Styela clava: one gene and its partner. The protein of the gene in region 2 purifies or fractionates together with the protein of the main gene of each other region. This does not show direct contact. Links are inferred from orthologs where the notes say so. Each region holds a gene or a part of one and is shown on either strand. Other genes may lie near its edges.

What was found. The genes of interacting proteins can lie anywhere in the genome.
Region 1: the proteins of Golgi SNAP receptor complex member 1-like (region 2) and BET1-like protein purify together in Homo sapiens (affinity purification with western blotting; 3 studies listed by BioGRID and IntAct, with this or other methods). This does not show direct contact. The link is inferred for Styela clava from reciprocal best matches to the Homo sapiens genes GOSR1 and BET1L.

The regions. Positions count from the first base shown.
Region 1 is NC_135255.1:10,597,000-10,604,195, forward strand, and holds the start of BET1-like protein, read left to right. Parts: upstream 1-4,103; 5' UTR 4,104-4,232; coding exon 4,233-4,257; intron 4,258-5,744; coding exon 5,745-5,836; intron 5,837-6,316; coding exon 6,317-6,373; intron 6,374-7,196. UniProt on the Homo sapiens protein: Vesicle SNARE required for targeting and fusion of retrograde transport vesicles with the Golgi complex. Required for the integrity of the Golgi complex.
Region 2 is NC_135255.1:20,539,356-20,546,914, reverse strand, and holds Golgi SNAP receptor complex member 1-like, read left to right. Parts: upstream 1-5,087; 5' UTR 5,088-5,957; coding exon 5,958-6,668; 3' UTR 6,669-7,055; downstream 7,056-7,559. Other genes in the region: coiled-coil domain-containing protein 27-like, read left to right, coding at 2,256-3,971. UniProt on the Homo sapiens protein: Involved in transport from the ER to the Golgi apparatus as well as in intra-Golgi transport. It belongs to a super-family of proteins called t-SNAREs or soluble NSF (N-ethylmaleimide-sensitive factor) attachment protein receptor.

The DNA of each region.
Region 1 (7,196 bases), about 9.9 Mb from region 2:
GTTGAAAGCTAAAGGCAATCTAACGAGACGGATTTGGCCCTCAGCCGCCAACTTGCTAATATTTGATGTAGTTTAACAGCTTAAATTCTCCGAACGATTTTTAAAATTCACTGTGTCAGTTCTTATGACACACTTTTTCTCACTGCAAGCTTCCGAGAGGGCCACTATCAAAAAAAAAAAATTTCCAGGTCACTTTTCGAAGCTGGAAGCTACTAGTAGTCATAGTCAAGTTTATTTTTTCCACACAGTAAAAAAAGTTAACATGCAAAATTAAGACGAATAAATAATATTGAATACACATTTCACTGGGGAGGGAAAGCTGCGAGGAACCAAAGCTGGTTATCAAGCAGCGACACCCAAGGTTCAAATATCTAAATGAACATTAGCCAAGTTTTAGCAACTTGATTGTTGGAGAACTGTTATCATTCATGATCGATGCTTGGTAGTTGAACCATCTAATGCGATAGGTAAATAAATAACCAACATCGCGTAATACAAATCACATGTAATATTAATCAGTGTAATTCTGAACGACATAGTTAAAAACAAAGGGCTGAATTACTTTGGCCGTTGTTGAGTTTTGTAGTACAAAGCTAACAAATAATTTGAAGATATTTTCACAAAATGTATGAACGTTTCCCCGACCTTTGACCTCCGAAAAATTCTTCCTATACTTTACCATTGCAAAATTGTCGGGGCTTATTTTAGGAGTGGTTTCGCGAGTTGGCGCCTGTAAAATGGGGTATGTGTTTAAAACCATCATTATGATTCAGTGCATACAACAATCTGTTTTTCAAAAGTACCGGTAAACAATTTTAGCCTAGTCTATCACAGCTAATTCTACACTGATTTTTGATTACTGCAATCAAATTAAAACTCATAGGAAGACAGAGTGATCATTGAATTATCTAATTTAAATTTCCGTAACACAACTGAAAACTAACGAATAGAGTTCAAAAACTCGAAAACGAGGTAATGTTTACGACCACGCCTGAAAATCTGTCTGAAAAAATCTGAGTGAAAGAAGTGTCTGAGCGGATGCGAGAAGGTAGCATTGTTACGTCACTTTTTGCATCTTGCTGATTGGCCAATTTCACGAAGTGAACAAGGAAGGCGGTGCTCGGGGAAAGGTCCATTACATTGTCGTAGTATACAAAATTTAGTTTCCAGTTGGCCAGACCATAGGCGTAGCCAGGGGGGAGGGGGGGCAGAGGGGCCATGGCCCCCCCCAAAATTTTCAAGAATTCCATTCCTAATCCACCAGTTTTGTGGCATCTTGTCTCGTCACGCTTGCCGATTGTCATTGTTACGTCACAAAGACTTGACCGTTCGCTCTTATGAGCAGTATGGGAAAGACCGTTTCGCAAGCTTTCGGTTTGTTACTCGGTCTTGATTTGTTCTCGCCGGATTTTTATTCGAAACGGTTGGATTTTGATGACCAATTTACTTCGATGGCTAAATTTAAACAGGCGAAATTCGATAGTTTTTTTCAGCGAAATAAAGACTCGCTTTCCTCAAATACATCAATAAGCGCTTCTCAGGCTGTTGATGCACCGGTTACGTCAGTTACGTCTATCACATCTATTCCCGAAGATGAACTAATAATCAACGAAGGGAAAACAAACGATCTTGGATTTATTCTTAAGAAACATACACAGCTTACCGATGCGGAGAGAAACTGGCTTCTAACTTCGGATGGTCCGAAAAACGGGACGATTCTGGATACTGTTAGACAAAGTCGTCGTAAATTTCTCATAAAATGGCTTGACGATAACAGATTTTGTAGTTGGTTAGTTTACACCCAACTCTCTGATGGGGGTGGTTTGTGTAAGATATGCATAGTCATGCAAGCACGTTTGAAGCATGGAATTCTCAGGGACACTGCCTTTGTTACAAGACCATGCATTGACTACAAAAAATTTATGGAAAAGGCTGTAGCACACCGAGACACAAATTACCACCGAGAATCAAATATAGCTGCGAAAAATATTTTGTCAAAAGCATGGAAACTGATCAAAATGTGCGTGCAAACATGGAGGCCCAATATGCTACGCAAACAAAAGAAAACAGACGAATAATGACTTCCATTGTCAAGACTGTCATGTTCTGTGCTTCGGGTAACATACCCTTGCGCGGACATTCCGGGGGTATTGGAAATTTTGTGAACCTTCTTCTATTTCGTATCGAGGCAGGGGATGAAGATTTGAAAAGGCATTTCGCTAGAATGGCCGGAAACGCTAAGTATACAAGCTCGATGATACAAAATGAAATTCTCAAGGTAGCAAGCAACATGATAGTGCAAGATATCGTTATGGAGGCTAATAAATCGTTTGTGTCCGTAATAGCCGACGAATCATGTGATATTTCTGGGAAAGAACAACTAAGCATCGTTTTTAGGTATGTGAAAGGTGGTGAAGTGTGCGAGCGCTTCACAGGATTAGTGGAAATGGATTCTGTTTCTGCCGAATCAATTTCCTCAAATATTTTGACCCACCTCTCTGGTATAGGAGTGGATTTGCAAAAACTTGTGGGGCAAGGCTATGATGGTGCAACGACAATGGCAGGTCACGTCAGCGGTGTGCAAAAACGCATTCGTGATAAATACCCGCGCGCAATATTTGTGCACTGCGCTTCTCATTGTTTGAATTTGATCATAAATGATCAAAGTAAAGTTGCAATCATCAGAAGCACCTGTGATATCCATTCGTGAGACTATTCGTTTTTTCAGGGAGAGCCCTAAAAGGCGCGCGGGTTTAGGAATTAACATCCCTTTGTTCTGCCCCGCCAGATGGTCTGAGAAGTACAAGAGCATCCGAATCTTCAAATGCAACTTCAAACGAGTACTTGAGGCTCTTGATTCTTTGGCGAGAGATGCTAACTGTGAGACGCGGACGAAGGCTTTTTCTCTGAAATCTGCTCTAGAAAAGTCGTCGGTTATCTACGCCGTATGTTTGATTGGTCGATATTCGGCACTAATGGAGCCACTAGCGCGCGCACTTCAGGCGGTCGGAGTCAGTGTGCCGTCAGTAAAGAACCTCACATCCTCTCTTCAGAGCGTTATCGCTGAAGAACGCAATGACTCTGAAATCGCATTGAATATTTACAAAGAAGCTTGTGAAATAGCTGGCTTGAAAGAGTTGACAATACCCAGAGTAGTCGAAGTACAAGTTTATCGCGATAATGTCTGTGCTGATTCAGCATCCCAGTATTTTAAACGTTCCGTATATCTCCCATACGTCGACGGCTTGAGCTGCTCTATTCGGGAACGCTTCATTGACAACCCTTCATTTTTTTCATTGCTATCAATTCTTCCACCGAACAAACCAGTTCACGTGGATGAGGTAGAGCGTCTGTATTTATTGGATAACCTCCAGAATGGAGTGAGACTGTGGAGAACTTCTTTAAGTTCCGACGTTAACGACGAATGTTTGGAGGGGCTTCTTCTGAGCGCTCGAGATTATCCAAGCGTGTACACCGCAATACAGATTGTTATGACGCTACCAGCAACCACCGTTGAGGCTGAGCGGTTTTTCTCATGCATGAAACGGGTAAACACATGGCTGCGCTCATCAATGACGTCCAAGTGCCTTTCTGATTTGTGTGTGCTTCAATGTCACCGTGAAATGGTCACCGAGGAGAAAATTAATCGAGTTGTGTCGAGCATAGTTGGCGGGAAGCGAAGGATGGACTTTTAATTGGGGCGATGTATTTTACTTATTCAAATTGCGTTGTTAATATTTGTTGTTTCAAATAAAAAATTGTTTATTAATGGATTTCGTATTCACAAAAATCCAGCTGAGTAATTGAATCAGTTTGCTTGTTGACCAACTGTTGTTGTTTTGCGCTTGAAGAACGGGTGTTTTAAACCCAATATAATTTCTAAAATTTTCGAATTTGGCCCCCCCCCCAAAATTTTGGGCTGGCTACGCCACTGGGCCAGACCCTCTTCTTTGGGCAAGACGCTATTCGAGATTGTTTTAATCGAATCCTATTTTTATCTAGTAAAAGTATGGTCATGTATGTTACGTTAAACCTTGGGCTCTCTCTTTACTTTACCATTGCAAAAATCATGTTCCCAGTGGCTCACAGTCTCACATGCGCGGTTATGGGTCACTGATATTTGAACAAAACAAGAATGCCATCTAGCGAATAGTGAAGAGGATACACGTCGTCAATCGTTTGTTGCTTCGTTTTGTTGTTTGGAGTTTCTTGAAGTGCGTGCATCCAGCAAGATGTCTCACTGGAATCGAAATTCAGGTAAATCCACTAGTTTGGTTATGGGCTATTTCCATTTTGAATTCATGAAGGACACATGTCGGTATAGGCAATGATAAATATATTCGGTACCGTATGTACAGATGTACGGTAAATCCTAGCGCATTACCGTACACAGTACCGGTATTGTACCGGTACCGGTAGCCCTTGGTATTTGAGTTGTTGCTCTTAGCTTTGCTCTGGGATCATTCTCCTTAATTTCGCAGTGAGTTATCGCGACCTTCTGAATTTGCTTTGAGCAGAGCTCCTTAAAAAATATCTTAAATACAGTAGATTTCATTCTACAGTTCTAAAGCATGTTAAAAATGGGCATGGGTAACTTAATTACAGCTTTCTCGATAATCAAACTCCATGCATCTGAAACATTAAACCAGCCTATACCGGGTCTAGTATAGTTTAGTACCACAAGTAATTCCAGTGGGCGTAGCATAACGAATTTTGCATATGTTATTCCTAACCCCCACCAGACTATGTCATCAAAAAATTACGTCACTACGGCATCACAATCATGTCATAGAGCTTTCCAAAGTTTAGTTAGGATTGCAGGATTGCCTGAAATGGAATCTGCGACGCCGATAACGAACTTATAAATGCCGGCGTTCTCTCTTGTATCGTGATCGTTGCGACGAGAAAAAGAGAGAGATAGCTTGCTCAGTTTTGGGTGATTGTCTGCGCGTTTTGAACGACTATCCACATACTTTGTTCGGCCTTATTACTCCACTGTGACATCGCAATGATGTGATTTTTTGACATAGTCAGGTGGAATTAGGAATGACATATGCAAAAAATATTGAGCCAGGCCAACTAGTGCATTTGGTACTAAACTATACCAGACCCACCCATATCTGACCAGTGATGCCAACGCATGGAAGGCTGTGGTTCACACATACCAACATACAAGCTATTTCCGGAATAACCTGAATAGTGTATATGCGATGTACATATTTTCATTTTTGTAAGCACATAACACATGCACATCTTTCGTTATTAATTTGAGGTTGAATTGTAATAAACTAGACTAGATTTTGGTGAAGTTGGCTGTCAAATTAACACAATAGTTATGTGTTTTATCATCCACAGGAATTAGAAGCTTCCTCATGTTCGCACATGAAAGGAAAAATGCAGATGAATATAATGTTTCGTTTGAATTTCAAAGGCAGTTAAATCCTAACTCCTGAAATATTCATGGCAGCGTTTTATTACAAATCATATTTACTAATATTAAGTGAACACGTTATTTTGGAAACAGCGAATTTCAGTTGAATCTGTTTTTTCTTCAAAACCTAAGTCTGTTCTTAAATTAAAGAATGTATCGATAAATCAATCTCTCTTATATGTTGACTAGTTTTTATGCTCTTGTATATTTTCGGGCCATTAATATAATTTAATATTTGTATGCTGTATATCAGTTGAACCAAAATACAACAGTTATTAGTTTTTCAATTCAAGTTTCTATCATTTATTTACAGGTGGGACAACGTCCGGAACAGAACAAATTATGGAGTCAGAAAATGATCGCCTTGCTGATCAACTCGCTTCTAAAGTGTCCAGATTAAAAATGGTATAAGTAATAAAATACAATGCTGTCAATGCATAACTCAGATTATTAATGATATAACCAAATTACTGAAGAAAATTATTCTACATATAATTAAACAGATCCAACACTTGCCTGCTATCAATAAATAATCTTGTGTTAACAAAGATAGGTGCAATGATTGACACCACAGTGTTCGTGGTTAAAACTTAGAACTTAACTATGTTTCTGGGATATGTGATTGATTTTAAAGAATTTATTAATTATTGGATTAAAATTATTTTGTCCTTCCTAATTTAATTATCTTCTGTATCAATTGCTATTGAGCTCTATGATAAATATTTTTTAAATATATATACAACTTAGTTTTTAACTAGCTGTGTGACAATTCCAATTTATTTTATGAGTTCTATATTTTTTAGTTACAATTTTGTGTTATTTTTTTTATAATTTCAGTCATTTATTTGACAGCACTTTTTTCTTTATACAACATCTCCATTCTAGATAAGCTTAGATGTGAGAGATGATGTCGATGATCAGAATAAGTATTTGGATGGTGTGGTAAGTGTTTCTCATAAAAGTTTCCTCAATTAATTGTTTTTATATTTAAATTTTGTAATATAAATATGATCAAACTAGTGTATGCTTGGTGCTATAATTAGAAACCGTTTATCAAAGCAATGACTATATTCATATTTTGTCATCCTATTCAATTATATCGAAGCTGAACTGACTTGCGAGGTTATACTCTTCAAACAATAACATTTTGGATTATGTTCACTGTTTAAATATATATTTTTGTTTTATTTTAACATTTTCCCATACCTGTGAATTAGCACTTGTTTATATTTTTCTCCACAAGTGAAAACTACGGTAACCTATTCTTGATGGAAATATTTAGTCTATTGTCATCTAATATTTTTTATCAACTCTTTACATGTTATTGGATCATTATTTCACTTTAACAAGGGAAAGTTGAAGTTTATAAAAATTATTCCAAGCAGGGATGTCCAAAATTAATCCAATCTTTGAATTAATAGAAATTAATTGTATTCAATATTGGGAATAGAAATTTATGCTTTTGGATGGAATAACACCAAATAGTTTCATTTGATTAATAATTATCATTTTGAAATGCAAATTAAGTCCCACACAAGTATGATCAAAAACGCTTTTATTTAATTTTTTCAAACAGTTAAAAATATAGGATAGGATTTACATATTTCACTGCTTCCTCCCTGCATTAAATAAATCACTGCTTGCTTCAAATTTTCAGCATTCCCAAATTCAAATTACACTTGACTTCAATGTTCTTTGTTGAACATCACCCAATTCAGAATGTATTCCATGTTTGAAAATATTATTTCAGTATGTATTCGGAGTA
Region 2 (7,559 bases):
AAATATTGATTCGATCGTATTTAGGTTTTCTGTTTTGTCAGTTTATGGCAGGGGTTCCCAAACCGCGGCCCGCGGGCCAATTACGGCCCGCAAGACGATTTAAAATGGCCCGCCGAACATTAGTGAAACTATAAAGCGAATAAATACTAATACGTTTAACAATTTAAATGTGTTCATCTTTTTGCGTCAATTGTTAGTTGCCGCCAATTGTTACGTCATTACCACAATTCGAGCGCGTGTATAATCATAAAAATTCAATTATAATAGGATTACGTACGGCAGTATTTTAGTTATCAGCACTATATTAAGAAAGCTTGAAGATGTCACAAAAACGAAAACTAGACACTGAAAACAGACGTTTTTTGGATAAATGGCAGCGTTCTTATTTCTTTATTGAAAAGAATCAAACTTCAGCGATTTGTCTTCCTTGTCAACAAACTATTCCTGTTCTGAAAGAATACAACATCAAGCGCCATTATGAGACGAAGCATTCTTCAAATTACGATCATTTGACGGGTGAGCGGCGTATTTCAAAATTTAATTCATTGTTAGATTCATATAAAAGTCAAACGAACATGTTCAAAAAAAGTCAACTACAAACCTAATTAGATATCAAACCTTGGGTGTCGCTGCTTAATAATCAGTTCCCAGAGACTTCGCTTTCCAGTAAAAATGTGTGTCAATTTTACTTTTCTCATAATTTTGTTTGTTATTTTTACTGGATGGAAAATTAAACTTGACTATGATATGAGTAGCCATTTATAAGGAGCCGTATTTCAGATGAGCAAGTAACTTCATTAGTCGCTATCAGTTGCAAGTCCTTGTTGAAAGTCGTACTTGTTATTTCTCGGGTATTCTATCATCTAACTATTATACTTATTAATTTTATTTCATAACAAACTGCGATACTGCGTGTATCTAAAACCAATCTTGCACCCTATTTTCGTGCCCATTTTTTAGAAAAAATTTCAGGGCGCATTCAAGCGCCAGCCGTTACGTCGCGCTCTTTTGGTCACTCCCCTTTACTGGCCCCCGAGTATCCTCGCCTTAAAATTTTGGCCCGCGACTAAATAGGTTTGGGAACCCCTGGTTTATGGGAATCAAGTCTAAAAGATCCGTATGGAATACTCTTGAAAATGACCACGCCTACCCTCTTAGATAAGGCATATATATTAGTCAGAAAATTTCAGAAACAAGCTTAGTTCAGTACAAAGCGTATATATAATATAATGGTTCAGTATGGACTAGTGACTGATAGCTCTGGCCAATGAGCATGCTTATTGGTCTGGCTAACCATGTTGAAATCATAAGGCGGAGATCGCGGGTGTAAGGAAACGAAAGTCAACCATCTCATTCGGGATGTATTATCGACTTTAATCTCCTTTTTGTGATAAAAACACATTTAATAAACATAATTGATTATACATACGACACGATTGCACTTTGTAGCAGGAATAATTTATGACTATGCATAATAATGTATCGCGGAACGGAAAAATTTGATATGATTGGAACAGAAAAACAATAACATATATTTTCATATTATTGGACTGTAAAGTAGAATCACAACTTCAATCAAGTTTTTTTTTCTCTTTTTCGTCCAATGTGTCGGGTTCATCATATTAATATATCTGCGGTTATTCGACGCCTCAAAAAAAAATTACATTATGACAAAGTCGTCGTTAACGTAACCGTCACCAAGCTCAAATCCTGCTGTGCCTCACCTGGAAAAGATCTCAGCGGCCCATGCTTTTGTTGCACGTCTTTTGACCACCTGCAGGGTCGCAATAGGTTCATATCTTACTGAATGTCATGGCGAAGAAGTATGAATCACCTTATATTTGGATGGTCATGTTAATCACTAAAAGTATGTAGAACAGAAAAAGCACGCGTCTCCGGTTTGGCAGAAAAACAACAGCATTTCTCGCGAACCGACAAAAAAACTTCGCAGACCGGCCGTTAGAAATCACTGCTTTAGAATTTGTACGAAATGGGAATACGCTTGACATCGCACCTCTGGTCGCTCTGCCTGGGTTCGAAACTGATACTGATTATTTATCCCCAGGAAAAGGCGAACTAGGACCACCTGTCAGTCCGACGACTCCAATCACCCCTCGCCTTGGAAACGCTGTTGATTTTGCGTATGGTGATGTGTTGCTGCCTCGCTGGTGAATTAGTTCTTTCCAAAGTCAGAAAGTGTATTTTTTGTTGAGATATTCGCTATCATGTGGGATTAAAAGCACCACAGTTAGAAGATGAGCCATTCTATCCAAACTTCTCGCAAAGGCTCTAGTATTTACGAAAATATGACCAGCAGATCTTCTAGCGGCTTCGGCGAGGATAATTTTAGTTTACGACCTGATACGGCACCTGGTAACCCGAGAGATCAGATTTTACCGATTTCTCCTTTAGCCATAAATGAGAGGTCGAAATCGGCGCCGAGAAATATGCGAATGACAACCAGATATGGTTCAGAGGGTCATGTTAAATTGTCATCTCGTGAAATTCTCGAAAGTGGAAGCCCTGTTAACCGGCAAGAACGGCCAAAAACGGTTGAACCGGAAGTCCAGGAGACGTTACAAAAAGAACAACCCTGGTACATGGCTATGCTAAGAGAAAAAGAAGAACGCCTTCTACAAATGGGCGATGAGATTAACCGCTTGAGTGCTTTCGAAATTGATTCTAAACAAAAAGATAACGAAATATTTGACCTTAGAAGACAGTTGGCACAAAATGTTGTCATAAAAACGACTCAAGAAACGGAATTAGAGGCAATTGTGGCGGATCTGCGTAAGAGAACGCAAATTTTGACGGACGAAATTGTTCGTCTTGGACCATTTGAAGAAGAATGCAAAAAGAATGATAAGATTATTTCTCAATTCCAAGAAAAAATTGAATTCTTAGAAAGAGAATCGCAGCAGAAATCTCGCTCAAGTACGCCATCTAGTGGAGCAAAAAAGCCTTTGATTTATGTTGACGAAACAAGCACAACAATTTCTGAACCAGAGGGTTCTTTCCAAAAAAATCCACAAGAATATGACGAAAAAGTCGAAAGTGTTCGCGAGTCGTTACGAAGCGCTAATGCTGATGCAGACGCTTTACGAGAACAATTCGACAAGATGGCTCCCGAGAAATTAACCCCTGAAGACGAGGTCATGGCTATGAGAGAAGAGCTTGTTAAAAGAGAGCAAATAATTTCTGAGTTGCAAGATCGTCTTGAAACGTCGCAAAAAGAATTGGTTATGAATGACGGCTTCATAAACGCTTTACAGCGTGATTTAGAAAGCACTGAAAACAAAGTAATGAAATTGACATCCCAAGTTGAGAAAGCCGAATTTCAGATGAACGAAGCTTTAGCAGAGGCTAGGACAATGTCGAAAAAGTTCTCTGACTTGCGGGAAAGAAGAAAACACAGCGATATGAATGCTGAAACTGAACATGAGTTGACAATCCTGAAGAACGCTTTTAATGAGATTCAACAAAAAGCTGACAAATTGAAGGAAAAGTCTGACAAACAGAGCAAAGAAATTAGGGAGAGTCACAAAAAAATTAAAAAAGGTGGCGAGCTAGATAAAAAACAGTCGGAGGAGATCAAACACCTATGTCGTGATTTGGAAGATATGCGACGTCTGGAGCAATTATCTCGAGTTTCCGCTGAGCAAATGTCGACAAGATTCGAACGTCTTCGCTCTCGAATTATTCAAGCTGTATTTATCACACCTGGAGCGGCTCATCCAAGCACAGCGATTAGCGACATTGTAGTTTTTAACGCTGTGAAAAAGATAATCGAGGATAGAAGTGAATTTCATAAGTTATTAGAAGAAACGAACGCAGATTTTCCACCGTTATTAGTCGAGCTCGACGCAACTTTGGAAGAAGAAAAAATCGAAGAAAGTAGCGCTACTACCGCAACGAGTCAGCAAGAACGAAAATCTGGGAAAGGAGGAAGAAAATCTCCGAAGCACAGATAGTTATTTTTTGCACAATTTTAATTTTTTTATATCACATATTATACAGGGTATTCATAAAGTTCTAAATTTTTTCTCAAATTGTAAGGTAATTTATCTATACCATAAATATTTAATGGCCATTATGTATTAATTAATAAATGAACAAGCATTGATTCGGATAAAACAAACCTGGTTAAGGTATATTGAGAACTGACTTCATAACAAAATTTAGAAATTGTGTGAATAGAAATTTATTGATACTATATTATAGTTTGTTTTCCTCTACAGGTGTATTGAATGATGTAAGAAATTTAAATAAACGCTGATTAAAATAAACGAATCTTGAGACCAGACTTTATAATTGTAATGATGTAGACTTTATGAACGCCCTGTATTTATATCATATTAGATATAGGTTTTACACCTCATTTCATGTACAAATTTATGGTAGTAGCAGAATCCTAATTGTAATAAAAGACTGTTGAATCACTGTATTTATTACCCCAAATCAATTTTATTTTTTTCTAATTTAGCCACTGTAGTAGTTCCAATGTCCACTGTTGAATAATTTTATGATAATTAATTTAATAATGATTTTTATGGTAGAGTTTAGTAACATATTTTTTTGATTGAAGCAAGGGTGCCTTTTAACAACATTGTGAAAATATTGGCGTTTCACTTTTTATCATATATCCAAGTCCATGGAACCAGAATCAGATAATCAACTTTCTAGCTATGGCTATTCCCATAGAATGTTCTGTCTATATATCTTTCATTGCTGTTTGGGTTCAAGTAACAAAGCATTGCAGTGAGAATTTTATCCTACATAGGATTATTGTGTCAATAATATATGCTATCTTGTGTTTAACTAATGAAGCATGACAGTCAGAATTTTATTACTTTGTTTCAATTAGGCATATTCTGTCAAAGTCATGCTCCATTGCTTTTAAGGTTCAAGTAATGAGGCATGGCAGTCAGAACTTTATCCATCTGTTCTAAATAGGATGATTTTGTCAATATATGCTCAATTGCTCCTTGGGTTTAACCAATGAGGCGGGCAGTCAGAATTTTACCCACCCGGTTCAAATGGGACTATTCTGTTAAAGTTATACTTCATTGATTTTGTGGTTTATTTCAATGCATTTTGCCATCAAGTTCAAAAATAATAACATCAAAGGTAGTTAGTATGCATTGCTGGTTGGACACATTTCACTGTGATTTGTAGCCGTCCACTGTTAGTTGGTATATTACTTGAAAACTTGAATGTATTTTGTGAAAATTGAATTTTCTTGTCACTAAATTGTTCCTAATGAGTTATTATAAGCTGGGGGAGTGTTACATATAAAATTTGATATTTTGGGTGAAAATTTTGAGTTTTTATACTTATGTTACTACCCATATATCCTCGAATATAAGCCGGCCCCCTAAAGTGGTTGAATCATCAAAATTCACATTAAAACTGGCCCTTTAAATCATAACACGCTGCACGCACCTATCACAGCAAAGGTTGCTTTAGTGCGATCAGAGCTATGGTCGTATAAGCCGCCCCGTAAGTTTGGCAACTTTTTTTTTAGTTATCTTGGCTTATATGGGAGGATATATGGTAATTAAATTTTTTAGGCATTCTGGTTAGCGAAAAGTTTTCGTAAAATGCACCATTTTTTTTAATTGTGATTCTACTTATAGCTGCACTTTTTTTTGAGAATCTGCGCGATGTACATATAATTTGATTTCAAATAGTTTGTATAATGAAATGTATTTTTTTAGAATTTTAGATTTATCTTGTTACAGAAATAAGATAGCCAACGCTGTGATTCTGATTGTGGAACTGTTGCTATTTATCCCTATGTGAGGCTGACGACTGGAAAAGACTGTATACTTCATTATTGTAGTACACAAATTGGGATATTATCATACTTCTGTTTTATTGTTTGCGAATTTCTACCGGGTGACTCCATATTTTGAATATTGGTGGTCTCTACATCGGAACAATTTTTGAAATTTTTGATGAGAAAAATGACGAACCAATGGGAGGACCTAAGGAAACAAGCTCGCCGACTTGAGAACGAACTCGACCTAAAACTAGTCTCGTTTAGCAAACTCGGGACAAGTTATAGCAGCCACGCAAGCGACCATACACCTCTTCTTGGGAATTCGAGCAGCGAACGAATGTTTGAAACCATGGCGATGGAAATCGAACAACTTCTGGCGAAATTAACGGGCGTAAACGACATGATGGCCAATCACAGCGAAGCAATTAACGGTCCAAGTTCTGCAATGCATACTCTACAACGACACAGGGACATACTTCAAGACTACACTCATGAATTTGCCAAGACCAAGAGCAATATCGTCGCTCATCGTGAAAGGGAGGATTTAATCGGATCAGTTCGACGTGATATCGACGCTTACAAAAGCGGAAGCGGAGCTAATAGTCGACGTACCGATCTTTATCTAAAAGAAAACGAACATTTAAGGAACTCTGATCGCCTTGCCAGCGAGGCAATCGACATCGCCATGGCAACGAAAGAAAATTTGGGAACGCAGCGAAAAATTTTCAAAAATATGACAACGAGATTGAATAACCTTGCTAATCGGTTCCCCGCTCTTAATAGTCTCGTTCGACGAATTAAAATGAGGAAGCAAAGGGACTCGCTTATCATGGCTTCCGTTGTGTCCATCTGTATTATACTCATTCTGATATACTGGTTACATTAGCTGATTTAAGAAGAGCATTCTAAATATTATTTCTGACTTTTACAACTAGGGATGTGGGCTCAGGAGTTTGCAGATCTGCAGACAAATAAGAAGCACTTGCATGTGCTAAATCAGGGGTGTGCTACCTGCGGCCTTCAATAAAACATTGTGCGCCCCGCGAATTTTTTTTTTGCCTGCAACTATGAGATAGCCATTATTGAATAAAAGTTGGGTCCCTGCGGTTCCACCCAGTTATTTATATCTGGCTTATTATGGTGTGATTTTTGGGTCTTGGGAATATGATTGATACTGCTTGATAACCAGTGTTAGTTTTCTTTCACCCTAAAATTCTGTTTTATTTTCTATGTTATGGCCATACAGAGTATTTTCAATATGGTGAATAATAAACTGTATGTCATTGCATATAAGATGATCTCGCATATAATTCGACAGTCCTAAAATGGTGAATTTATAAATATTAGCATATAAGGCGCCCCTACAAATCATAACACGTTGTACGCACCTATCAAAGCAAATGGGGACAGAAAGGAATTAGTGAAATTTTGTGTTAAGTCGTATAAGTTAAATTTTATATAGTGCGATCAGAGTTATGCATGTATATGCTGCATTTTTAGTTTTCAACTTGGCTTATATGCGAGGATATATGGGTAATGATTGTCATGCCAAGCACGCTCTATTTTATGAGCTACATTCAGTCATTCTGGTAAGACTCCCGTTATGAATTTTCTTTAAATGTACATTGAAGTCGAAGAAATATTGATATTTTTTTTTCAAATTTTAGAATAGATGATTATTAATGATTTTTGGTCGTTCTTGGTTTGATCTTGCAAATCTAGGCAGTGTAATCAGATTCACGCACTTTCTGTCTCACAGACTTTTCCGACCTTAAAG